Arabidopsis thaliana: one gene and its partners. The protein of the gene in region 4 interacts with the protein of the main gene of each other region in a pairwise test. Each region holds a gene or a part of one and is shown on either strand. Other genes may lie near its edges. The genes, in order: EDS5, NHX3, AT3G05350 and PGLCT.

What was found.
Region 1: the proteins of PGLCT (region 4) and EDS5 interact in a protein complementation assay, tested with the Arabidopsis thaliana proteins (one large-scale study listed by BioGRID).
Region 2: the proteins of PGLCT (region 4) and NHX3 interact in a protein complementation assay, tested with the Arabidopsis thaliana proteins (one large-scale study listed by BioGRID).
Region 3: the proteins of PGLCT (region 4) and AT3G05350 interact in a protein complementation assay, tested with the Arabidopsis thaliana proteins (one large-scale study listed by BioGRID).

Annotation. Positions count from the first base shown.
Region 1 is NC_003075.7:18,183,809-18,189,736, forward strand, and holds EDS5 (MATE efflux family protein), read left to right. Parts: upstream 1-1,628; 5' UTR 1,629-1,931; coding exon 1,932-2,346; intron 2,347-2,936; coding exon 2,937-3,031; intron 3,032-3,115; coding exon 3,116-3,224; intron 3,225-3,315; coding exon 3,316-3,371; intron 3,372-3,455; coding exon 3,456-3,511; intron 3,512-3,613; coding exon 3,614-3,752; intron 3,753-3,846; coding exon 3,847-4,053; intron 4,054-4,127; coding exon 4,128-4,367; intron 4,368-4,453; coding exon 4,454-4,531; intron 4,532-4,657; coding exon 4,658-4,729; intron 4,730-4,834; coding exon 4,835-4,897; intron 4,898-4,988; coding exon 4,989-5,090; 3' UTR 5,091-5,416; downstream 5,417-5,928. Other genes in the region: AT4G39020 (SH3 domain-containing protein), read left to right, coding at 52-125, 208-282, 416-532; AT4G39040 (RNA-binding CRS1 / YhbY (CRM) domain protein), read right to left, coding at 5,441-5,509, 5,590-5,808.
Region 2 is NC_003076.8:22,468,717-22,474,599, forward strand, and holds NHX3 (Na+/H+ (sodium hydrogen) exchanger 3), read right to left. Parts: upstream 3,991-5,883; 5' UTR 3,870-3,990; coding exon 3,705-3,869; intron 3,595-3,704; coding exon 3,476-3,594; intron 3,379-3,475; coding exon 3,281-3,378; intron 3,173-3,280; coding exon 3,113-3,172; intron 3,015-3,112; coding exon 2,968-3,014; intron 2,887-2,967; coding exon 2,692-2,886; intron 2,612-2,691; coding exon 2,565-2,611; intron 2,460-2,564; coding exon 2,393-2,459; intron 2,297-2,392; coding exon 2,196-2,296; intron 2,112-2,195; coding exon 2,010-2,111; intron 1,748-2,009; coding exon 1,603-1,747; intron 1,488-1,602; coding exon 1,425-1,487; intron 1,314-1,424; coding exon 1,230-1,313; intron 1,134-1,229; coding exon 837-1,133; intron 679-836; 3' UTR 529-678; downstream 1-528. Other genes in the region: AT5G55460 (Bifunctional inhibitor/lipid-transfer protein/seed storage 2S albumin superfamily protein), read left to right, coding at 1-297, 404-417; SVL1 (SHV3-like 1), read left to right, coding at 5,561-5,699. UniProt on the Arabidopsis thaliana protein: May act in low affinity electroneutral exchange of protons for cations such as Na(+) or K(+) across membranes. May also exchange Li(+) and Cs(+) with a lower affinity.
Region 3 is NC_003074.8:1,527,910-1,535,680, forward strand, and holds the start of AT3G05350 (Metallopeptidase M24 family protein), read right to left. Parts: upstream 6,001-7,771; 5' UTR 5,935-6,000; coding exon 5,608-5,934; intron 5,453-5,607; exon of another isoform or gene 5,352-5,452; coding exon of another isoform or gene 2,991-5,351; exon of another isoform or gene 2,759-2,990; intron 2,348-2,758; coding exon 2,222-2,347; intron 2,120-2,221; coding exon 2,000-2,119; intron 1,897-1,999; coding exon 1,621-1,896; intron 1,502-1,620; coding exon 1,329-1,501; intron 1,256-1,328; coding exon 1,001-1,255; intron 771-1,000; coding exon 619-770; intron 516-618; coding exon 325-515; intron 214-324; coding exon 105-213; intron 17-104; coding exon 1-16. Other genes in the region: RLP30 (receptor like protein 30), read right to left, coding at 2,991-5,351; AT3G05365 (uncharacterized protein), read right to left, coding at 6,467-6,561, 6,659-6,798, 7,077-7,183. UniProt on the Arabidopsis thaliana protein: Catalyzes the removal of a penultimate prolyl residue from the N-termini of peptides, such as Arg-Pro-Pro.
Region 4 is NC_003076.8:5,270,769-5,276,349, reverse strand, and holds PGLCT (plastidic GLC translocator), read right to left. Parts: upstream 3,875-5,581; 5' UTR 3,697-3,874; exon of another isoform or gene 3,456-3,696; 5' UTR 3,447-3,455; coding exon 3,191-3,446; intron 3,048-3,190; coding exon 2,933-3,047; intron 2,861-2,932; coding exon 2,793-2,860; intron 2,681-2,792; coding exon 2,548-2,680; intron 2,465-2,547; coding exon 2,365-2,464; intron 2,265-2,364; coding exon 2,152-2,264; intron 2,071-2,151; coding exon 1,977-2,070; intron 1,903-1,976; coding exon 1,749-1,902; intron 1,631-1,748; coding exon 1,484-1,630; intron 1,409-1,483; coding exon 1,335-1,408; intron 1,231-1,334; coding exon 1,142-1,230; intron 1,059-1,141; coding exon 944-1,058; intron 855-943; coding exon 672-854; 3' UTR 538-671; downstream 1-537. Other genes in the region: AT5G16160 (uncharacterized protein), read left to right, coding at 114-177, 258-411, 495-537; AT5G16140 (Peptidyl-tRNA hydrolase family protein), read left to right, coding at 4,833-5,024, 5,104-5,188, 5,272-5,339, 5,429-5,479, 5,555-5,581. UniProt on the Arabidopsis thaliana protein: May be involved in the efflux of glucose towards the cytosol.

The DNA of each region.
Region 1 (5,928 bases), on a different chromosome or scaffold from region 4:
AAACTCCACAAGTAGAGAACATCACATCTTCGCCTCCTCTTTCATATTAAGAAGCCAATGATGGAGTCAATGCTTCTCAAATGCATAATGGAACATCAGACGCCATGGGATATTTCTTAGGAGAGGTTGGTGTACTTTAAAATGTCATCATTTTATGGTCGCAAGAACTTGATTAATCTCTTGAGTTGCCTATCTTTTTCCGCACAGGTCATGTTTCCATATCAAGCTGATTCAGATTTTGAGCTCAGCTTATCAGTTGGAGACTATGTTGTTATCAGAGAGGTTAGCATTCAAATCAAAGCATATAAGATACCATTCTTTCGCGGCTCAGGACATCGAATAACGGAAAGAATCTTAAAACTCTTTTTTTTTTTAATCTCTGTGGACTCATTCACATGTCTTTATGATGTTCCAGGTAGTGAGTAGCGTGTGGGCAGAAGGAGAATGTAAAGGCAACGCGGGTTGGTTTACTTACATCTACATCGAAAGAAGGGATCGTGTCTTCGCAACTAAGGTCATCGAGGTCTTCTAGTGGCTTCTTTTGGTGTGTTTCGGTGACTTTTGTTGCCATTGTTGTTCTGTATCTAACTTTTTTTTTTTTTTTTTGGTCAAAAATTCTGTATCTAGCTAGATTTCTTTTTCTTCCTCTCTTTACTTATACACAAGATCTGATCATTGAAGCAAAATAAATCTCATCTCCGATGATCTAACAATAATTTCCATAATTCAAATGCTTTCAGAAAGGATTTCTCAATACAGGTTAAAAATATCAATCTAATCTTTGCAAACTCATTAAACTAATTTAGTTACTTTCCTTAACTTTAAGAAAACAAATCTCAAATTTTGTGGCTATACCACCATTTTCATTGAAACTAACTACTCAATTAACGGTCTGAAAGAGGACAAAAAGATTTTCACAAGTGTACACCAATAAAAGAAAATCGTTTTTTTCCCTTATAAAATGACAAAAATTACCAAGAAATTAAATGGAACATAACTTACGACGAAATTTACCTGACGATTTTTTTTCCTTACTGAAAATTACCAAGAAATCGCGTGGAAGTCGGAAATGTTACATACTTTTCTTTGTAACTACACTGCGAAAGCAAAAAAAAAAAACATAAAGTCAACCTTTTGGGAAAATTGTCGTCTTTGACATCAGAAGAGATTCAAACTAAAATGAATGAGTACGTTACTTGCGTTATGGTTGGGTTTTCCTTTTTAATTTTAGAAACTTTTCTTACTTATATTTTGAATCAACAGTTGATAACACAAGTATAAATTATTATTTTCGCCATCACACTGGAGTCAAGCTCGAGAGAGACTTGTTTCCTAATTTAATTCATAAACTTGTTTCGACAGTGAATATATACATCTTCGAAGAAATAACACCATTGACTTAAAACCAAAATAAATAACAATAGTCTTATAATTTATATTATTCACACTTAAAATTAACAATACAAGTCTTTTCAAAGTCTTTTAATTATATAAACAATAGAAGTCTTTTTCATTGTCTCTTTTTGACTAATTAATAAAGACCATGAAAAGACTTGTATTGTAAGTTTTGAGTGTAAATTGTAATAAATTACTATGGTTTTGTTTGTTTTATATTTCTGCCATCTAAATAATTACATTATATGATAAAATAATTACCCTAGCGACAAATGACAGCTAGAAATGTAATAAGAACACCAACTAAATAATTATGCAGGTTAATAATGGAGCAAGTGATGTTCTTTCTATATACTGTACATTTTCTTTTTAAAAAATTATGTAATTTCGCAGAAGAGAAAAGAAAAACACGTGGTGATTAGAGAGTAGTATAAAGATAGTTGGTTGGGTTCTGTTTTTTTCTGTATCTCGAGGCGCCAAAAACAACAACAAAAAAAACTTCAGAGCGGTGATCAGATTCACCGATTTTTCTCAAAATGCTAATCAAATCCCAAAGATTGACTCTTTTCTCTCCTCTCTTGTCCAAAACAAGACGGATCCCGGTTAACTCCCACCAAACACTGGTCGCAGAATCGGTGATAACTCGGAGAACACTCGGTGCGATCACCGCAACTCCGAGTTTTCATAAAAATCCGGTGGTGATTCGACGGAGGATCAAATTAGAGAGAGTTACGAGGAACTGCGTCAGAATTGATCGGGAAATCGACGAAGAAGAAGAAGAAGAGGAGAAGGAGAGAGGGGATCTGGTGAAACAGAGCATATGGGAACAGATGAAAGAGATAGTGAAGTTCACAGGTCCGGCGATGGGGATGTGGATTTGTGGACCGTTGATGAGTCTCATCGACACGGTCGTCATCGGCCAAGGAAGCTCCATCGAACTCGCTGCTCTTGGTACGCTTTTCAATCATACTTGTCTTTCCGGTTTAGTAGCCAATTTTGAACCGGTGGACTGGTCCCCTACCCAATAGCTAAGCTGTAAGATTCATACACTGTTTTTGGTTCCTTTGTTTAGTCTCTTTCGAATATATTACACAGATTTGGAACCAATAATAGTTTTAAAAACAGGTAAACAAATTAGGCAAGTGTCCAGCTATATCATCTTATTATTTTAATCATTTTCCAAGCCAATCATTAGATTTGTGTCGGTTTACCAACTTCGAAAATTTAGTAGTTGTGTAACGTTTTTCACGATTCTTCTAGACAGAAAAAAATATAATCGGTAACATAATTAAAAGAACAAAATACATATGTTAAAGTTAAATATGTTGGTCTGAAGAAAAGGCAAATGGTTTTAGTCTCGTTGGTCAAAGTTAAAGACCGTTTTCAAGCATTTGATTATACAAATTTGACTAGTCAACGCAAGGCTAACTAACATAATTCAATGGTTAAAAAAGAAAAAATTGTTTGATTTTTGGTGAGAATACGGTAAATAATTGTTAGTATATTTTATATGATGGCTGAGAAAATTACCGGTTTAATAGGACCGGGAACAGTACTATGCGACCACATGAGTTATGTCTTCATGTTCCTCTCCGTGGCTACATCCAATATGGTTGCTACTTCTCTTGCCAAACAGGTTATTTACTTTTTACTCTTTCAACTTTGTTTTCTTCTTCTTCTGATGTCGAAACATCTCAAATGTTATTTATATTTCTTGCAGGACAAGAAAGAAGCGCAACATCAAATCTCTGTTTTACTCTTTATTGGATTGGTTTGTGGACTAATGATGCTTCTGCTCACAAGATTATTCGGTCCTTGGGCTGTTACTGGTAAACATTTTTTAGTACAAAAGTATGTTTCCGTTTTAAGAAATATTTGAGTGAAATGTGTATTTACACTCTTGTCATGGTTTTTTTGCAGCTTTTACAAGGGGGAAGAACATTGAGATTGTCCCTGCAGCTAATAAGTATATTCAGGTTCTTGTTCGTTTGATCATTCTCTGTTTCAAATTCTTCTGATGAATGGTGTCTCTCTTTAACTGGAATCTCTCTGTCTCGCAGATTCGAGGCTTAGCGTGGCCGTTTATCCTTGTTGGATTGGTTGCTCAAAGTGCAAGGTTTCTTACACTTCCCTTCTTATTAATCAGCTTTAACGTTCGATGTTCTGTGTCGATTTTCCGCCTCTTTATTACTTAATTTGATGTGAGAATCTGTCTCAGTCTTGGAATGAAGAACTCATGGGGACCTCTTAAAGCATTAGCTGCAGCAACGATCATTAACGGTCTTGGCGATACAATCCTATGCTTGTTTCTTGGACAAGGTATCGCTGGAGCTGCTTGGGCAACAACTGCTTCACAGGTAATATTAATTATAGTATCATGAAGCCCAACACTTGAAATGTAAATGCAGAAGATTTCATTACGGATTTATGTGTTTGTGTGTTATGTTATAGATTGTTTCGGCTTATATGATGATGGATTCTCTGAACAAAGAAGGCTACAATGCTTACTCTTTTGCGATCCCTTCACCGCAAGAACTATGGAAGATCTCTGCACTCGCTGCACCTGTTTTTATCTCCATTTTCTCCAAGATTGCTTTCTACTCTTTCATAATTTACTGTGCTACTTCCATGGGAACTCACGTTTTAGCCGCTCATCAGGTACATTACAAAACAGAGATCTTTATGCCCAGTCATGTTGGTGTTGTATATTTATAATTGTGGTTTTATTACAGGTGATGGCTCAGACGTATAGGATGTGCAATGTATGGGGTGAGCCACTCTCTCAAACGGCTCAGTCATTTATGCCAGAGATGTTATATGGTGCGAACCGTAATCTTCCCAAGGCTAGAACGTTGCTTAAGTCCCTGATGATTATTGGAGCCACGCTTGGATTAGTCTTGGGAGTTATCGGAACAGCGGTTCCAGGCCTGTTTCCTGGTGTCTACACACATGATAAAGTCATCATATCCGAGGTCTGTTTTTGTTTTTCAAATCAACATTTGTTTCCTGTGTTTTTGATTCTAACTTGGTCTAATCTGATTCTTGATATGTTTGCCAGATGCATAGACTGCTTATACCTTTCTTCATGGCGTTGTCTGCATTGCCCATGACAGTATCCCTCGAGGGTACATTGCTGGTAAATTACAAACTCTTGTTCGATTAGGTGGTTTCTTGAGAAGCAAGCAGCTGAATAAGTCTCTATATTTTTCAATCTTGAAACAAGATAGTATGCTTAAACCAAAGGTTGTTTCTTGTTCACCAGGCGGGACGTGATCTCAAATTCGTCAGCTCAGTGATGAGTTCAAGCTTCATAATTGGTTGTCTCACACTAATGGTACTTTATAGAGTCTCTCATAAACCTTAACTACGTTTATTAATCTTCAAAGACACTTTCAATTTGAGCAAATCTAAAATACTTTTTTGTTGTTGATAATGACAGTTCGTGACAAGAAGTGGCTATGGTTTACTCGGCTGCTGGTTCGTTCTCGTCGGATTTCAATGGGTAAAGACAGACATACACAGCAACATTTTGTTATCAGAGATTTTCTCTTTATCCAAATCTGTCTTTAACCAAATTATGGTTAACATTGCAGGGCCGGTTTGGTCTATATCTACGACGGCTTCTTTCGCCTGGAGGCATACTTAATTCAGATGGGCCGAGTCCATACACGGTGGAGAAGATTAAATCCATTTAAGTCTCAGTTTGATGATCTCATTGATTATCTAAGAGTTTGCCAACAAATGGCTAATTATGATATATCAGGCACCAATGTCAAGAAACGGCTAATTATTGTCAACTTTTTTCTTTGGTCAGAGGCTCAATGTAAATTTAAAGCATAATAGACAAATAATATATACAAGTGTGGTTAGTTCAATCAGTTAGAAAAGATCAAATTCACTGATAGATCGACTCTTCACAAAGCTTCCCAGCAAAGGAGAATTTGGCATAAAAGATCAATGTGATTGTATTTCTAATTGTATTATTATTGGAGAAATGAAAATGCATCACTACTCTTGAGATGAAAACAAACAAACGGGTAAAAATTTAAGCCGTTGGAACTCTACTTCCGCCTCTGCGTCCACGTCCATCAGGTCTCTCTGAATACTCTCTTCTCTACAATAACCAAAAGATTGAATGATCTTCAAACTCAAAAGAATAGAGAGTAAATACGCCATGTTTTCAGGGTTACTTACAAAGGGTTTAGTGGGTCTAGTGTTTGCGTATTTCTGCCTTCTAGTAATTGACATTCTCTCAACTTCCTTCTTCTTCGCCTCTGCTTTCATTTTGGTGGGACTGGGCCTATACAATATCACAGTCCGCCCTATTTGCCCTACTGCTACGGAACCAGTCGCTTCCTCCAAATGCTGCACCGCATCCTCTAGCTCATCGGGCGATGTCTTGCGTATTTTCACCTGTTCCTCATATAAGAATCAACAAGAGACTCGCTCAAGTAAGCCTTGAATGTTTTCCACAGTTTCAATCCATTCTCATAGATCAATCAAACAACAACATTCCTTTCACAAAACATAAGA
Region 2 (5,883 bases), about 17 Mb from region 4:
GAACTGTGAAATTTGCAGCTCTTGCAATAGTTTTAGCCGCCTTGGTGTTGATGGAAGAACCTACGAGCATTACCGCATGTAACATCAACGCAAACCATCTGGAAAAATGTCGTCCAGCCGTAATTGGAGACAACCCGCCATCTCCAATCAAAGAGTGTTGTGAACTCCTCCAAGCCGCTAATCTGAAATGCATCTGCAGATTCAAGTCTGTTCTCCCCGTTTTAGCGGTTTACCCATCTAAAGTCCAGGCTCTTCTGAGCAAATGTGGCCTGACAACAATCCCTCCTGCTTGCCAAGGTAAAATCAAAATACCATTAAGATACTAAAAACCGGTAGACTAGTAGGATCCCAATATGAAGTATGAAGTAAAAAAGGCTTACGTTTTGCTGTTCTGTAAGTGCAGCTTTGAGGAACTGAGATGGAGACAGACCGTTCTAGCAGACTTCACTCGAACTTGTCCTGCAACTGATCTGAAGTCTTACAATATGTCTTATGTTCCGATCCAAATAAATTACAAACTCGCAGTAATAATCGCAGCTTGTGTATATAGAAGAACCTTGTTGTATACATTTAACAAAAACTTTAAGAAACTGTTTTAGCTAAACCAACTATCCTACTTTCTTGACTATAAAAAAAACTAACTCATCATGATTTCCCCGCGGAGAACCCGGATCAATTCTGCAACACAAAAAGAGAGAATTGTTCGCTTATCATGATGAATATTGTAGGCACCTCTTCCCGGATGTACTTATTAATTCCGGTTACACATTATTGATCAAGTGAGGTGCGTTTGCTGCAAAATGTATAAATTTGTGTGGTAATAATGGAGGGTATACCTAGCATTCTGGTTGGTTTTCTCGACGAGGTCCACCGAAGATAGGCCTCATGTATGTGTCGTCAAACTTTCTCCAGTAGCGGTGGATGGTGTACACAGGTTGTTCCATCAGAAGGGAAATACTATCTTTAGCTCTATTGAAGTTGGTGGAAGCAGACTCGTCAAAGGAAAGAAGAGGAAGTGTCGCATCTTCTTTCGGAGAACCTGGCTCAGTGCGTTTACCTCTATTTCCGGTGTTGTGACTTGCATCTTGAGGAAGGAGATAATTCACAAGTGGTTTTGTGAGGAAACCAAAGACCTGTTTGTTACATGACAAAGAAGTCATTCTTTTGATCTTAACACAGAAAACTACCAGAACCAGTAGGGCCATATACTAAGGTAGTATTTGTTTTACCAGTGTAGTAAAGAGAACAACGATAGTGGTGTTGGTGACCATGGCAGCATTCACAGGATCCAATGTAACACCGGAGTATGTGAACTTGGCACATGAAAGATATACCAAAATGAGATATAATGGAAATGTTACTAATTCAATGTAAAAGTAATACAATAGAGATTAGAGATAATATGAATGTGCAAAGAGAAAAACCTGCTTGAAAGCCAGAGCAATTGAGACAGCACCTCGCATTAGACCTGCCCACCAAATGATCACCTATAAAGTATACAAAGAGAGAATTATATAACAGAAACTTTCCCATTCTCGGACCATTATTAATTTTTTATTTTAGTGCTTCTGATAATGTAACTGTAACAAACAAGAGCTAAACCTGATGCTTAAATGTGATAGACTCGTTTCTTTCAGTGTGCCTGTTCATGAAATTTGTTAAGACCGAGAGTGGAAAGACAAATGCTGCTCGTCCAAGCAATACTAATGCGGTTATGACACCGGAGACACCCAGAGTACCCCCAAAGCTGCAAGAAGATGATTAATGTTACAAGTCTTCATTGGGAAGAGATTTCAGAAACAACGAGTCACCACCACAGCTTAACTAACAGTTAATTGGCGATTAACTTCGTGTCAAGAGAGAAGAAGACATAGAGGATGTCTTTGGGATAATCTTGATTCTAGGTATGCATTTAAGAAATACACGAGGTTCATATCAAAATGCTGTGTATTGTTTTGACAAAACACTCTAAACGCTCTACCAGCTGATAAATGGATACGACTTTATACCTTAAGCTGCTTGTCTTCCACTTTGTAAAATCAAGAGCATCTGTTCCAACATACAGAAATATGAATGTCTCCGCAATAAAGGACAACATTGCAAATACATGCCTGCAAAATATAGATGCACAGTCAGACAAAAGCAATTCCTGCAAATTGAGACTTCAGCGAATAAACAATTGTCTGATACATTGCCTGGAAGTGATTCTTGAGCTCTCTGTCACGTTATATGATGCATAATGCGACATTAAAACACCACAGAAGAAAACAGTAAGAATTCCACTTAATGAGAAGAGCTGCAAGAGAACAACTATATTGAGTTAAAACAGAGAAATGCAGCACTTCAATTCCAAATGAAAACTAAAAAGTAGCGTTCATGACCAGTGTATTACCTCAGCCAACATATATGAAAGGTAAGCCATTAGAACCATGATGGCGAGTTCGCGTGTAGTAGAATGTCTGTCAGCAACCATATAACAAGATCAATATAAAGGCACATCTTATCACTAAAAAAAAAAAACTTAAGCTTGAGATGAAAAATTTGCAAGTTTGGTGTACTTTTACCTTCCAAAATACAAGGTTTTAAGAACAAAAGATGTTATTAGCCCCACCTGCAAGACATTCACAGTTCTAAGATTACTCATGATATGCTTCAAACAGAGTAAAAAACTATGCCAACTCAATAGCTTACACCAATTCCGAGAAGTGTGCTTGTTGAGAAGAGGTACAAAAAGTTCCCAAATACTTGCAGCGCCGTCCAACCGGTTAGGCTTTCAAATTGAATCTTTTGCACGGCGTTGAACAGTACAACTGAGGTTGCATCATTCACCACTCCTTCTCCAAAGACTAAGCTGTATAGCAATGGTGTTTCATCTTGATGGAGAATCTGTAAAAGTTTAAGATGCAATGTAAGAAAAAACTTTTAATAGAAGAAGTAGTAAGACAAAGAATCTTCTAAATCAAGAACCTGTAGAGTGCAAACAGTATCAGTTGATGAGAAAATCGTTCCTATGGCTGAATCAAAACAAGAAAGCATTCACTCTCGCAAACTGATAAGTAATAACCATCTCAACAAGAAATGAAAAGAAACATAGATCAGTGAAAAATCTTACCAAGATAGTCTCTAGCACTCAACCCCTTAAATCCCAACTTGGGAAACAGCCACCAAGTCCCTGGTTCACATTATAAAAACAACAAAAATAGAGATGGTAACAACTCCGAGATAATCAACTTTAAATCATATAGTCAAGTCATTCAAAGATTAATGAAATATTTTTTACCAAACGAGATAATGACAGTGGAGATGAAAACTCCAATCACACCAAAGGACATGATGGTTAAAAAGTTGTGAAAAAACTTCTTTTTCTTAACTTGGAACCTGCCACAACAAACCAAAAAATCTTCAGTCAATCACCATCATAGTGTAATCTAACCCATTAACCACAACATAGTAACCAAAACCATAGTAAGCTTACCCAGCATTGAAGATTATTGGAGGAAGAAGGTAAATGAAGAAGAGTTCTTCATCAAACACCAAAATATGTGAACTTTTTCCTTTACTAATAAGTAAGATCACTGTTCCTGATGCTGCTCCCTACTTGCAACAAAACCAATCAAAAATAGTGATAAAATTGTTCTTTAAGAGCAGAAAAGCTCAAAACTTTAGCTAAAACAAAAAAAAGAAGAAATTTTGAAGAAAATTACTACTAAAATGGCGGTAATAGATTCATTAACCCATCGATTCTCTTCAAGCAAGTGGCCGATAACTAAACATAGACAGAGAATGGCGATGAACACTGAGATTGGTATCACCTGAGGATGCTCAGCTGCTAGTTTATTCGTCACAAACTCTGTTAATCCGATACTCATTTTTCACTCGATAATGTTTTCGATTTCGTCGATTTTGAAAACACCAATCGCAAACGAAGAAGGCACACAGAGAACGATAGAGAGAGAGACGAGGAAAGAGTCAGAGAGTGAGGAGAGATTTGAACTGCGATGAACAAGGCGGTGGTTACAGGTGGCGAGGAGACGAAAGACACGTGGCATGTTTCCAACGTCATCAGACTGAGTAAACGTGAGGCTTTTTGGAATTGTACTGCATCTTGGGCCTTTTTAGGGCCCAAAACTAACTCATCATGTATTTTTTTCTTACCGGATTTGGGGATTTTTTTCTTTTTTCTTTTTTGGGTCTAACTAACTCGCGTAAATTGTTGTTCTTTTTCCTTAATTTATTTTTACCTCTTGTTCTTTATTCTGTTTATATAAAATTATGAAACTTGAAAACTCAATATTTATTACAACGAATTATTTGGTGAAGACTCGAACCAATCGAAATAAAACACTCTACTGAGTAACGGTCCCGGTTGCAACAGCCAAGACGCTAGAACGTGATCGTTTCGTTTGGTCGTGTTTTGATGACGTAAAAAGTGACTCAGCGACCTATTTCACCACGTGTAATCTTTAACGACCATGTTCTAGGACCTACCTGACTTTTAATCGATCATCCACCACCGCCTTCTCAACATTTTTTAAGATACTAGTATCATTATAGCTATAATATAAATTAAGAAACTTGTAAATATTATAATTAACGTGAAAACATAGAATTCGGATATATAATGTGTATATTAGATAAATAATAAATCTGCTCATATGTGATATGTATATGCATATATCATATATGTAAATGTAGCCATTATTGGAATGCGTATTGGGTAATGGGTAGTATCACTAGAATGATACAATTTTTCTTATATACAGAGAAGAGAAGAGGAAACAAGAAAAACAAATACGTTCCCCGCAGTAGACTTTTTATTTGTTGGTACCGTAGAGGAAAACAGATATACACCAATTACTATAGGAGTGATTAAGGGAGAAATTGCAGGGATATAATTGATATCTAATAGCCGTTTCTACACTAATCCTAATTATAACAAGACCAATGATTGACACATGTATATTGCAATTGCATGCATTATATAGTTTATTATTATGCTTGCTTATAGTTTAGCTGGTTTTGGAAACAAGTAGGTAGTAATAAAGAAAAACAAAGAGAGAGTAGGTCGTAATAAATGAAGAACGCATAACTATAAAAAATAAATACACAAATATATGTAAAACAATTGTTTGGTTTCTCTAGGTTGGAGACAACCAATCAAAAAATTATATTCTAATTTAAAATAAAACTTATTTAGTTATCCCATGAAAATTAAACTCTTGTATTCTCAAAAAAAAATTGAGTCAAAATTACACTCCCAATATTTTCTGTCTGCAATAAAGATATGGAGACACATTGAAAAACATTTTAGTTTATTTATGAAAAACCAAAAAAATAAAATTTTAGTTGATGTTTTCTTTTTAAAGTGGAAAAATGTGTCAAAAACAAAAAGTCGAAGTTCTTTTGTTTTCCCTTTTAAAATAATCAACGATCATATAAATTCGAATCCCACAAACCAAAAAGCTCTCTCTCTCTCTCTCTCTCTCTCTCTCTCTGAGTAAATCTCAGTTTTTGGTCGAAGTTGGTGAAGTCGCCGCCGGGACAACTCAGGTTGTTACAGATGATAAACATGCGAGATAATCCAACAATGCATGTCTTACAAGCTTCAAAGTTTCTATTTTTAGCTCTTATTTTGATCCAGTTGCTGTCTACTCAACTCTTTGCTCAAAGATCTAAAAGTCCATGGCAAACACTCACTGGTTAGTGTCTTCTATCTCCTTCTTCTCCTATTTATTCAATACCCTTCACTGTTAATCAATAAATCAGTAGAAAAGTTGCTTCCTTTTGAATCGTTTCATAGAAATCAAAGAGAAAAATTTGGGGGTTTTCTGAGTTTCATCCAAAGAAAAATCGAAGCTTTCTTATAGGTTTCATCGGATTTTG
Region 3 (7,771 bases), on a different chromosome or scaffold from region 4:
ACGCCGTGTCCTGTCCCTGTTTGGCAGGCAAAATATCAGAGTAATATGAGTTCCTTACAAAAAAGTTGTTCTGGGAAGAAGAGTCAAAAGATAGAATAGAGTACCATGGCGGTAATCAAGTCCAATTTTCCATAGAGAAGAGCGTGCAAACCCATCCAATACAAAACCAGGAGTACCTTCTGGGAACACGGCTTGATCAAGAGCTATATGACCCTACAACCAAAATACCAATCAGACAAGGCAACCCATACAGGTTCGTCTGTTCAATATAGGTAGTCAATGGTCATCAAAAATGATGAGGAAAAGAAGAGCCAAATATTCCACCTGCAAGACTCGAGTGAAACATTCCTTTTCACGGGCAGAAGGTTCACTAAAATGTACTGTTCTGGTGATGTCTGTTGTTCCATCAACATATTGAGCGCCACTATCCAGCAAAAAAAGTTTTTGAGGGTCTACACGACTGCAGCTCTCAGGCTCGGGCTTATAATGTATAATAGCACCATTTGCACCGGAACCTGCATGGGTAATTAGAGGAAAGGAATACATATCACTCACTGGCTGTATATTGACTATGTGTTAAGAAGCAAGTTCCACCAACAAGGGTGACAATAACCATACCACTTATTGTATCAAAGCTTGTATCCATAAAACCATCTTGCATTGAACGGAATTCAAGAAGCCTGTCAGCCACATCGACCTCTGTTAGATTCGCATTCTTATGCACTTCTTCTTCCAGCCAAGCCCAGAAATGAGCTAGGGCAGCAGCATCTCTGCATAAAATAAGTGGTCAGCCAAAGACATTTCCCATACATAGGAAAAAAAGAAACCAAAATTTTCCAGAAATGAGCTAGAGCAGCAGCATTTCTCCATATATATTTGGTCAGCCTAAGATACTTAGCATTTGAAAGTACAAAAGAAACCAAAATCTTCCAGAGAAAAGTTGAATCCTATAAAGGCAGTTGGATTAGGAAAATATCGTAAAAGCAATGGCTTTCTTTACCTCAAGTGAGAATTCTTCATTCCCTTTAGCTCAGCATCATTTTTAATGGCCTTTGCCCACGAAATAGGAGATTGCATGTAAATACCAGAAGGATTGGCAGTATATCCGCTGGAGCTATCAGTAAACTTTGTCTTAACTTTGGCTTCGCTTTCAAAATTCCTCGAATATCTTTCACAGGCAGATTTGTAGGTACTAATGATAGCTACGTTGAGGGTTGATGGATCCATCAAGAGCTGAGCTCCTCGTGCTGCCAAACTGAGAAAACTCAAAGTGAGGGAAATTCCTTTTTCTGAAGTTCATAAATGGACATGGACAATCAAGTACTTACCTATCTATTCCTTGAAGAATGGAATCGTAAGGTCTAAGTTCGATCCCTGCGTTTTTCAAATGATCTTTCACCTCCACCGTTACTTTAGAATTATCTACAAAAAGTTGGGCTTGGTCAACCTCTACAATCAGATATGCGTACATTACAGGTGAATGTGGAACATCGCTCCCTCTCTGCAGTCAGAAGAGGCAGAATACAACATCAATACATTGGGACCTATGTGAAGGATAAGCTGATATCAGTGGCACAAAACTAACAGATTCAAATGTAAGATGCTATGCTAGAGTATTACCAGATTAAGCACCCATGCAATCTCATCAAGCATGGATATTACAATGGCAGATGTGCCAGCATCCATAATTTGGTTCCTCAAAGACAACAATTTCGAGGCCACATCTAAACCAGCATACTTCAAGTCATGTATCCTTATTTGTCTGCTTGGAGGCTTTGGCCTTGAGTCCTTCCATATCTCATCCACAAGATTTACATTGTACAAGTAAACCAACTCATGATTCTTCTTTGCTATAACCTCCTTCAATTCCTCAGCAGCATCGGCGGAAAAAAGGAACTGCTCCCTTCATGAATTCCAAAGTCTTGTAAATAACAAACCACAAACTACAATATTTAAGGACAAAAGGAGACACAATTTAGAAGGTTTAATAATAGCTTACAGGGTCAATACCAACTCTTCCACCAGGCGCCAAAACATCAGCTATCCATTCACTCGCCGTGGGGACTCCCGGATTACCAGCCCGCATGAGAATCCAACTAGAGTTTAATTGCTTCTCCGCCTTTGATAGAATAATTGCAGAGAATGTAGATAAGAAACTCCACATTTCCTTTCAATATGAGATGGCAATCAAATAATTTTAAAGGACGATAATGATCAAAACCTGAAGAAAATAGCGGCCATCTGTCCATAGAGCTGCCTTATCCTTGGTGACAACAGCGGTACCAGCACTTCCAGTAAATCCTGATATATAAGCCCTCCTGGCATAGCACTCTGCGATGAACTCGCTCTAGTACAAAATATGGAGAAAAATCACACTCAAGCCATGAAAAACTCAGGCAGTTTATGGATACATTTAGAAGTAAAACATAAATTTGTGACTTTCCTAATGGCACAGAAATATATTACAGGCAACATCAGTTATGAAAGTAGATCTTAAGCTCCTAGTATGTAAAATTCACCGAAACAACACATTACCCATATCAAAATGGCAAAAACAATTGCATAGATGCATAACAACCCCCGCACTGGTCCAAATCATATTTATTTTTTATCTTGAATCTCCAAATCGAATTTGGTATACTCAGGGACAGCAAGATTGACGTGTGAGCGGAGCAAGAAACTTTGGGGAGAATGAAATAAAACACGAGTTGGAGAATTTCATACTGTGATTTAGAAGAAGAAGAACTTCCATTTGGCTCTACAATTGAAACATCCTCTTATGACAAGTTGAGATTTGACTAGGAAGAAAAATCTGAATGCATTTTCAACCCAACATATAGAAGATCAGATACCACCAAAGCCGTTTCTTACAATACCATAAAGTAGAAAATTACAAAGACAAAGAGTTTATGCATAACACAACTGACAGATATCATAACAAACATATACGTTTCACAATCACTCAGAGAAATTGTGAGAGGTGATGGTGTTCAACGAGCACTTGTGGTGACTACTCTGCGCTTGTTTCGATGGAATTTTTCCATGAACCACTCGTGTTTGTGTGCAGTAAAGAAGATATGTCCAATAACTAATCCACAAAACACACCAGGTCCGTAGGCTATTGCCGCTGCTATCCAGTTAATCACTTGTTCTTCTGGTTCCGAAAATTCCTCGGATTCTAGTGGTGTAGAACTCGGGGCATGAGCTTTTCCACAGATTTTCTCAAGACCGTAGAGTCTGAGGTTGTCCATGAATGTAGAACAATGTTGGCTTTGAAACTGAGTGCCTAGTGGAACTGGACCTTCGAGAAGGTTATGGGAGAAATTCATGGTCGACAGAAAAGAGAGGCTACCAAGATCTCGAGGGATGTGACCTGATAGCTGATTCCGGGATAGGTCCAATGTCTCAAGATTTGTCAAATTTGCCAATGACTGAGGGATATTGCTTGTGAATGAGTTACCTGACAAATTGAGAAGACGCAATTCCTTCAACAAACCAACGGATTCAGGTATATTCCCAAAAAATCTGTTTCCAGAAAAGTCAATGGCTCTGAAGAAATATGGGATCCGCAAGAAGTCCGTTTCTACTCCTTTATATATCATAGTCATCGAATTACTATGGCTGAACTCGGGCCCTTTCTCGCCCATGTACCAATCCTCTGTACCTATATTAGAGCCGTTTTCTTCTAAGACAGATGTCACCATCTCACGCCAATTGGAGAAATATAAAGGTGACAAAGTTCCACTGAAGCCATTCTGTGATATATCAATGAGTCTCAAATGTTGAAACCCAAAAGATATGTGGTCATAATATAACGACCCATAGAATGCATTAGATCTGAGGATGAGGACACGTAATGATGGCAAAGAAACCAACCAGGATGGAAAAGTGTCCTTGATTATGTTGCTTCCCACATTCAGAAGTTCCATACCAGTGCAATTGATCAGGGATTTTGGAAGTTTTCCCTCCAACCGGTTGTAGCTAACGTCAAGTGATAATAACATGCTAGCATTGACAAATACGTCTGGGAGAAATCCGCTGAAGCTGTTGTTACGCAGAACTAGCCCTTTAAGCCAATAAGTGGAATTTTTCAAACAAGGAGGAATTGAGCCGTTGAAGAGATTGTTGGACAAGTCTAAGTACTTTAAGAACCTTTGCTTGCAGATCCAATGGGGAAAAGGTCCTCCAAGTGAATTCGAACCAAGATCCAACTCCTGCATTGATTCTCCATCCAAAGCTCCGGATGATGACTTTCCAAAACTGTTGAAAGAATTGTGGGAAAGTGTCACTGTCATCAATCCCCATAAGCAACCTGGCACTTCGCCTTCCAAGGTATTGTTTGAAAGACTAAGATGCTGAAGGTTGACCAACTTTGATATAGAAGTGGGGATTGGCCCAACTAAGTTGTTGTGGCTAAGATCTAGTACTATGAGACTGTGAATTTCAGATATATATTCAGGGATTGGCCCATCGAATTTGTTATCAGCAAGGTTTAGATCCCAAAGCCTAGAAGATGAAGATATATTCCCAAACTTTATAGGTCCCATGAACTGGTTTCCTTCCAAATAAACAATTTGTAACGAAGGAATCGTGAATAAGGATGTAGGAAAAGTCCCGACAAATGAATTCTCACGCACATCAAAATATTTCAAGTTGTGGAGTCCACTCATATCAGATGGAAGCGTGGATTTAAAGTGATTAGAGGCAACGTTTAAGGAGGACAAGCTGGTTAAATTTGGTAGTATGAAAGAGAAATTTTCCAATGTGAACTGATTGCTAGAGATGTCTAAACTAGAAAGCTTCGTTAAATTGGTAAATGAAGTAGGAATGTTACCACTAAAACTGTTTTCGGAAAGTAAAAGGTCTCTAAGTTGGTTTAGCTTACTGACCGAAGCCAGAACTTCACCTGTCAGCTGATTACTCGAAAGGTCAAGATGCGTGAGACGAGAAAGGTTTCCTAGTGAAGAAGTAACCTCTCCATAGAGATGGCAATCACTGAGAGTCAGGTTCTGGAGTTGTTGGAGTTTGAAAAGACCACTAGTTGGTTTCAAAGAGTTGTTGAGAAGGACATAACTAAGGTCAAGTGAAACCACCTCGCCAGATTCATCATCGCACGTGACACCCTCCCAAAAACAGCAATCACTAGTCTTGTTCCATGAACTCAACGATGGACTTGGCTTCGATTCACTTACCGGAAACTCGTGTTTGAACTCGAGAAGAGCATCCCTTTGGTCATGGCGGCAATAGTGAAGCCTAGAAGAAGCAAGAGTGCGTAGAACAAGGGAACCCAGGAGGAAGAAATACAAGGTAATAACACTACCAGAAAAGGAATTAGATTGGCTTGGAATCATTTTGTTTGTTTTGTAAGTAACAGGTTATGATAGCTATGGCTTCTACGTCTCTATTTAGAGAGAGAGAAAAATAGAAAACAAAACACAAATTTGCAGCTCTCTAGTAGACTTCTACCTACTCCTTTCTATAGTCAAACTTGCCCACTTGGACCAATAATTGACTTAAAAACACACACAATTGAACAGTTTTGAATCTACTAGAACTTCCTATTCAATTCGTAATCACGAGTTAAGAAGAGGTTTAAAAAAAGAGAACCTGATGTGCATCTTGTGAAGGTATGATATAAGCGTCGATTCCAACACCCGGCTCCGAAAACAGTCGCCGGATCGAGCTAAGCTTCTCGTCGACAACTACTTTGGTTTGAGCTTTACGAATCTCTTTGGAAGACTTTGCCGTGAAGGAGGAAGAGCTGCTGCTGCTGCTACTAGCATGACACCTTGCGCCAAAAAGAGGTTTATACGGTAATTTCCGGTGGATCAGAGAGAGCGAATTGAAATTGCTGAGAAATAGAGAGTGTGAGTAACGTGATGTGGATAAAACGAGCCGATTCAGAGACGGCGACGAAAGAGTTAGAGGAATCATCACCAGCGATTGCAGGAGAATCACACAAGAGGAGAAGCTTCTTGAGCAGAGTGATTACGGATAAATGTGTATAACTACTGAAAATTGCAAAACAACCCCCGTATTCTTTTAAATGTTGTATAATGTGCATGACTATTGATAATTACATTAAAATCCCAGACTTGTCAAAAAGAAACATTTTATTTTGAAACAATCTCATCAAATTCGTTATGGTAAAGGACAGCCAAGAGAGACGTGTGCAAGAAGCAAGAGTCTTTGGGTGCGTAAGAAATGTAAACGTGTTCGAGACTTTCATGCTGAGAATTTCGATTGGAATTTTGGTTTGACTTAGAAAGTTTTATGAGAAAGACTTAATACCGCCTGAATTAAGGGTTTCCACGAAAGAGACAAACGATAAATTGCAACCACACCAGAAAAGAGAAAAATAGATACTAATATTCTTTATATTGATAACCATGGGGTTTAGAATTCAAAACATATTTTGAGATATGAGTAGAAGAAGTTTCTGAATGCATTATCGAGCCAAGATTTATTACAAAACCTTGCAACAATGTGGTTTGGGACAAGAAGCTGACCATGATTTTAACCTGATAGTAAAACGGGCCTTGTCTCTTGACAGCTGAAAGTCTGAAACAAGATCATAATATTTCTCAAGCGCTGAACTAACACAAGTAAGGGAATGGAAGTGAATACTTGTTCTGAAGCAACTGGCATGAAAATGTACCTCTCAAGTATCTGGTTTTTTCTAATCTCCTTCCGTGAAAAGAAAGATTCTTAGGGTACCAAGGCAAAGGCTTGATTGCCTCCAATTCACCACTCTCTATGGCCTTAAGTATGCTTCTTATGTCTATCATCAATGAGACACTAGAAAAATGAAAGAGTCATGAATCAACCTCAGCCCGAAGAGATTTCATGAAATCATTCTCCAATTTCAATCAAATCCCATCACAAAATTGACCACTGAAGAATCAAAAACAGAGGCCACTTAGTCAAAAAAAACTCTGAAACTCCATAAACGAATCCCACTCTTCAGCTTTCACTATCCTTTGTTCCTTACACAACTTCACAACAAGACATTACAATGGTGTTTATTAGAAGTAAAGTTTCAAAATCCATGGAAGCCATTGATTCTATTGAGGTACCTTGTAATACTCCTCGAGTCCTCATCCTCGAAATGAAGATTTGAGCAGATGGGCTTTTGGAGGTTGGAATCAAAGGAAGCATCGGATTTGAGGGGGTTTTCGAACATTCTCTTGGCTATTTAGAGTTGATTTCTCTTCCAAGTTGTGTCGTCTCCATTTTTGTTGTTACAGTGGCCGAGCTTTTTGTTTTCACAGCGATGGGTTTGATGGGTTTACATTGGTTTTGAAATTCAAATTGATCTCGGTTCGGTTTAATTTGGTTTAGAGAAGAAAACCAAAAAAAATAAGACACGCGATGGATTTTTGAGAGTGAGTTGCGTGGATCAAAAAAGGCATGATTTCTGTGGACAAACCCCTTTAGAAATCGTAGACACGCGCTCAACGCGACATGGGTGAGACTGGTTGTGAAATCGCTCGATTGGTAAAAGTGGGGTATGAAGTGGAGCTCTCTCATTGGCTAAAAAAATAAAAATAGTAGACATATAGCTCCTATCCTCCTCCTCTTCTTTTGTCATTTTTATATTAGCCTCTGCTGAGAATGAAATTCAGATTTTATTCAATCTGAAAGTTGTGTGTGTTTTAGATACAATTGAAAAAAACTTGAATCTGGACTTATGTGATACTAAAAAACTTCCTCATCATTTTGTTCTGCAACCATTTTTACAAGTTGGAACTAATAACTGAAAACTTGATTC
Region 4 (5,581 bases):
ATTCGAATTTCTATCAACTGTTCAATCCAGTTTTTTTTTTTTTTCTTTCAACCGAATTACTATGTACATAGCAATTTGAATTTGAAGCCATTTTGGTTGTGTTGAGATTACAGGAGCTACACAAGAGACGTATGCAAATAAAAGCTAATGCAAAGATTCATAAGAAGAAACCTAAAGGTATATATATATTTAGCTCTCTTTTTTTGAGAATTCTCAGTTCATATTCACTAGACTAAAAGCTCTACACTGAAATGCAGCGAGCAAGAATTCTCAGAGTAAAGCGATCGAAGATGGCGAAAGCTCTAAAAAGTTGAAAGAACCAACTTCTTCTTCTTCTTCTACCTTAGAAGAACAGAATCATAACAAGACAGTAGTCACAGTACCGAAGAAGCCACAAAAACTGTTTTGGGGGTGAGCTTATTTCGCTAATTTTAGAATTCTTTTTCATATTGAGAAAACCGTGCTAATGCCATGCTTTTTTTGTTTTGAAACAGGCTAGATACCAGGGAGAGGTGGGAAAGGAAAGCCAACATGTAGTGGTCATGAAAAGATTTCTCGTTATTGATAACGTCGTCCATTGTACAATTTAAGAGTAGCAGATTAGAGAAAGACTCACAAACTAAATGATGAAACAAACTGGTTTTTGTTCTGCTGATTTCTTTTGTTTAATTTCAAGCTCCAGATGTAAGAGCAAGCTCTATTTCCTCCAGTGATCGACCTTTAGTCTCGACGACGTTTCCTGCAATGTAGAGGACCGCAAGGACGCAGACTCCAGCAAAACCCAAGTAGACACTGCTGATTCCGAATTTAGTCACAACGCTTAAGAAGTATAGTCCGATCACAAAGTTTGATATCTGTTAGGGCAAAAGAGAAACAAAACATTAGAAACAGAGAGAAGAAACTCTGTTCTGAACCCATAAAACCTATAGATATATGTATATACCCAGTGCATGCCGAGAGAAAGAGCGACGGCTTTTGCTCTGATTCGGGATGCAAATATCTCTGGAAGAAGAAGAGCCGGTACCGGGCCAGCACCAAGTGAGAATGACAGGACATATCTGATTTAAACAACCGAGCATAAGAGTCAGTCAAGTCCTATACAGAGAGACTATAAGGAAGTGTTAAGAGGAGATTGACTTACAGAACAGTTCCAACAACGGCAAGGGTTCCAGAATAGGCAGCAAGAGCCTTCCATGTGAAGGACAAGGAGAGTAACAGCATTGACAAAGCCTTTTCAATACAAAACCATAAAATCCAAGTTAGTCCTGTTGTGGTAATACTAATGAGGGTTGAGATTTTCGAATATGGCTAAGAATTTTAATAAAAACATGTACCATTCCACCAAAGCTTGTCAGTAAAAGACTTTTCCTTCCCATTTTATCCATCAACGATGAAGCAACAGCAGTGCCTGCGACCAGATTTTTATCGTGTTATTTTTTTGGTTATTTTTGGAATTTAATGAGAACATAACGGGGAAACGAACCAAAGACATTTGATGCTCCAACGAGAGCACTGGCTGCAACATCTGATTGGATTCCCGCACTACGGAATACCGATGTGGAGTAATACACAACTGCGTTTATCCCGGCTAACTGTTGAAACAAGAAGAGAGCCGCACCTACGCTTACAACTACAACAAGAACAGACAAGAAACTATGTAAATTGATCAATCCGATATGACCTTTGAAAGGAATCCGTCAGCTTTTATTACAAACTAAACAATGTATCTCCACCAAGTCTTGCTATACCTTTCCAGTAGCGGCTGCTGAATAGATCAAACCATCCTGCCTCCGGCTCAGAAGAACCTTGGCCAGAGGCTGATAAGTCGCGAACTAGTTCAACCACTCTTTCTTTACCATACAAAGTTTTGATCGCCTTTTCAGCTTCAGAGACTTTTCCTTGCTGCAAAATTGATTTCCTTGACTTGTCAAAAATTGATCTCATTTTAAGTGTTGAGATCTGTTCCTTGAGAGTACCTGAACGAGCCACCTTGGGCTTTCTGGAGAAAAAGCCATTCCTATGGCCAATAGAACGGAAGGGATAACTGCAACACCAAACATCGTCCTCCACCTAGAAGACCACGATATCAAAACTTATCACAGTATGCAACCCAAAATAAAAGATGATGAATAAAAAAGGGATGTTACATACCATAGAGGGTTTGCTGCAAGGGGTAATCCAGCTATCAAGGCTGCAAGTATTCCTATACAGATGAACAACTGGTTCACAGATCCGAGTGCTCCACGGATTTCAGTTGGTGATATCTGACAACCATCATCAAACGCTTCAGAGACATAACATATAAACAAATCTAACATCTTATGCTAAAAGTGCAAAAATAATGAAAATCAGTATTTAAACAACCTCAGATATGTAAAGTGGTACAATCGCTGATGAGATTCCAATTCCAATTCCAGCGAGCAGACGTCCCACAATCATAGTCTGCACACTCTGAGCTGTTGCACTAATCAATAAAAAAAGAACCAATGCGTTAAGAAATCAATTAACGTCTCACCAATAGGTATGGCTTAGTGCTTGAAAATTTACCATAAGAAAGCTCCAATGGCAAGCGGGATAGCATCCAATTGAAAAGTTCTTGTTCGTCCAAATTTGTCAGCTAATGCACCTCCAGTGAATGAACCTACCGTAGCACCAGCAAGCAGAGAACTAACAATCCATCCTGCTCAACACCAATCATAGAGAATACCAATTATGAGTTTGGCTACTAATCAAAACACGAATCATTTTACCGTTGACAGGAGGAGTAAAGAAGTGGATCATCATATACTTGCCTTGCAAAACAGTATTTTCGGCGATCCCAAGATCCTTAGCAAGATATTCAAGAGCACCATTAACCACCCTGATTCAGTCCAATAGAACATCATCATCCATGATCACACCAAGATAAAAACAGTGTAGTATTTAGTCATACCCGAGATGATAACCAAAGAGTATAGCACCAAGACAAGCAACACCAACAAAAGGCAAAACTGTTCCAGAGCTTTTCCCTTCAGATCTCAGAGGTATAGCTTCTTCTTCATCTCCATCTACATTTCATTCCTCAAACCATCAGATGATTAGTCCAAATCCCAAACTATACATTAGATTCTTCAAATTGTATTTAAGAACTTGTAAGCAATCACAGAATCTAATGATAGACAAAGATAGAAGAGCATTAGAAGAGACGAACCAGATGAGGCTTGAGCTCTGACCGATCGAGCTTTGACAGAAGAGAAACTCATAACGCTCTGGATCCCGTTATCAGCACGAGCAAGCGTCGCTCCCATGGCTTCAGAACCAGAACAGTAGAGTGGCCCGGTGGTGGCTAAGCTCTTATAACCAGCGAAGCGAATTCCGGTAGAAGTCGTCGATCTGTCAGAAGAGAAGGTCCGTCTCTGAAACGCAAACGCAGCGTTTCCTTTAACCGCATACGTTGACGACTGCATTTTGTCTGACTTTTTATAACCGTAATTGCAAGGAAACGAGAAATATTAGGCAAGGAAGGAAAAAAAAGGATCGCATTTATACCAAACAGAACTCAAAAAGAGAGAAGTAAGGAACGATGAAGACGCAACATCACGAAATTGGGAAATATGTTGCATTGATGCGAACGAGAGAGTAAAAACGCTCTTCTCGATCGCGGCTGATTAACAAAAATCGTGATATCCAAAGCAAAACTTCAGATTTGAAAATTACCAGAGAAACTTCGGAGACTCCGCGATTTGAGAGAGAGGATAGTGAGGGCTTAAACCAGATAGATTGTGATTGCTGAGAAGAACTCACTGTGGAGCTTATTGTCGTTTAAAAAAAAAAATTAAAACGCACCAAAAAATAAATAATGCAATTTTGTTTCCTTATTAGTTTTGGATTTTTGTGTAATAATTCATATTTATCCAAAACCATACGGAAAATAGAGTATTTTCATTTCTTATTTTAAAGAAATCATGAAATTTAATGCATGTGATGCAACTTTCAATTTTGGATTGGTAATTTTGTAATATTTGCTAGGAAATTTGAATAAATCAACCAGTATCAACTAAATCGAACTAAGTGGCGGGACTAATTAGGAAATTTTTTTGAGTTTATAAATTGAGAAAATTATTTACAATTATTATTCGACATAAATTAGTCGATAAAAGGGTAAGAAAAAAAGAAGTAAAAGAGTTACGTAAGAGCCGCAGGATTGGCGATTTGGCAACGTTGGATTTTCTGGATTAGATTTTGGATGACGTATATAGCCGCACGTGTTATTCAATAGTACTCACGTGCCGCCATTGAGCATAGTAACGGTGACGTATAAAAATCATAGTAACTTGGGCCACTATTATTTAACCCATCATTTTTGTGGGCTAATATTAGTAAGCCCATTAATACAAAACGGGACCAATTTCTAACATCTTCGTCTCAGTATTTCATCGTTCTACTTCTATCTCGTTCCAACGTCTTCGCAAAAGAAAATTCCGAAATTGTTTCGAAAAATCCTGAAGAAGAAGAGGTAAGCTATTTTCCTTCTCACTTATCCTTCTTCTACTGAAAATTTATAACATAATATAAACCACAAATACATTTTTGTGTAATCCTTGTAGCTCATTGCTAATCTCTGATTCTCCAGAAATTTTGCTGAGTCCTCTGTTCGATTACACTTCAATTATTTTTTATCTGCGCTGTATCTCTGTTAATGGGTTTCATTAAGTTTTGATTCTCAGTTGTTATATGATTTCGAATTTCATTATATCCTGAAAAGCTTTTATCTTTATGTATATTCCAAGTATTGAATCTCAAAGTTTCTAGTCATTTCAATTTCAATAGGTCTTTGAATCAACAACAGTTCCATGTTGTGCCCAACGTATACACCAAGTGTTTACCATTTTCAAACGCAAAAGCCAGTTTTCCGGAAACAGAGGTTTCGGGTTTGTTCATCTACTTCTGGTGGTGAGGATGATAGATTCAAAGTAGAGTACACTCCTTGGCTTATCGTTGGGTTGGGCAATCCAGGAAACAAGTATCATGGAACAAGACACAATGTAATGATACACAATCTTTTTCTTTTACTTAATTGCTGGATTTGATCTTGGCAATGCTACAACTTTGTGTTGTTTTCAGGTTGGTTTCGAGATGATCGATGTGTTGGCTAGAAAAGAAGGGGTGTTGATGAACACTATACAGTCCAAAGCTCTAATCGGAATAGGTTCTACTTCTCTTGCTTTGGTTCTTTGGTTTGAAGAATAATAAAACTGATGACTTTTTGGTTCTATGTATGAATCAGTACAGGTGCTATTGAAGATGTACCTATCTTGTTGGCTAAACCTCAGACTTATATGAACTTCAGCGGCGAATCGGTTTGTATTTTCTGTTCATAACTTTGCAAAGATCAGCTGCGTGATCAAATAATCATCATACCTGAAACTGTTCTGTTGTCGTTTTAAAGGTTGGATCTCTAGCTTCACACTATCGAGTACCATTGCGCCACATTTTAATGGTAAAGTCACTGACTTAAGCATCCCTTGAATCCAGAACTATGTTCCATATGAACACTTTTGTTTCTCTCTACTAGATTTACGATGAGATGGCTTTACCAAAT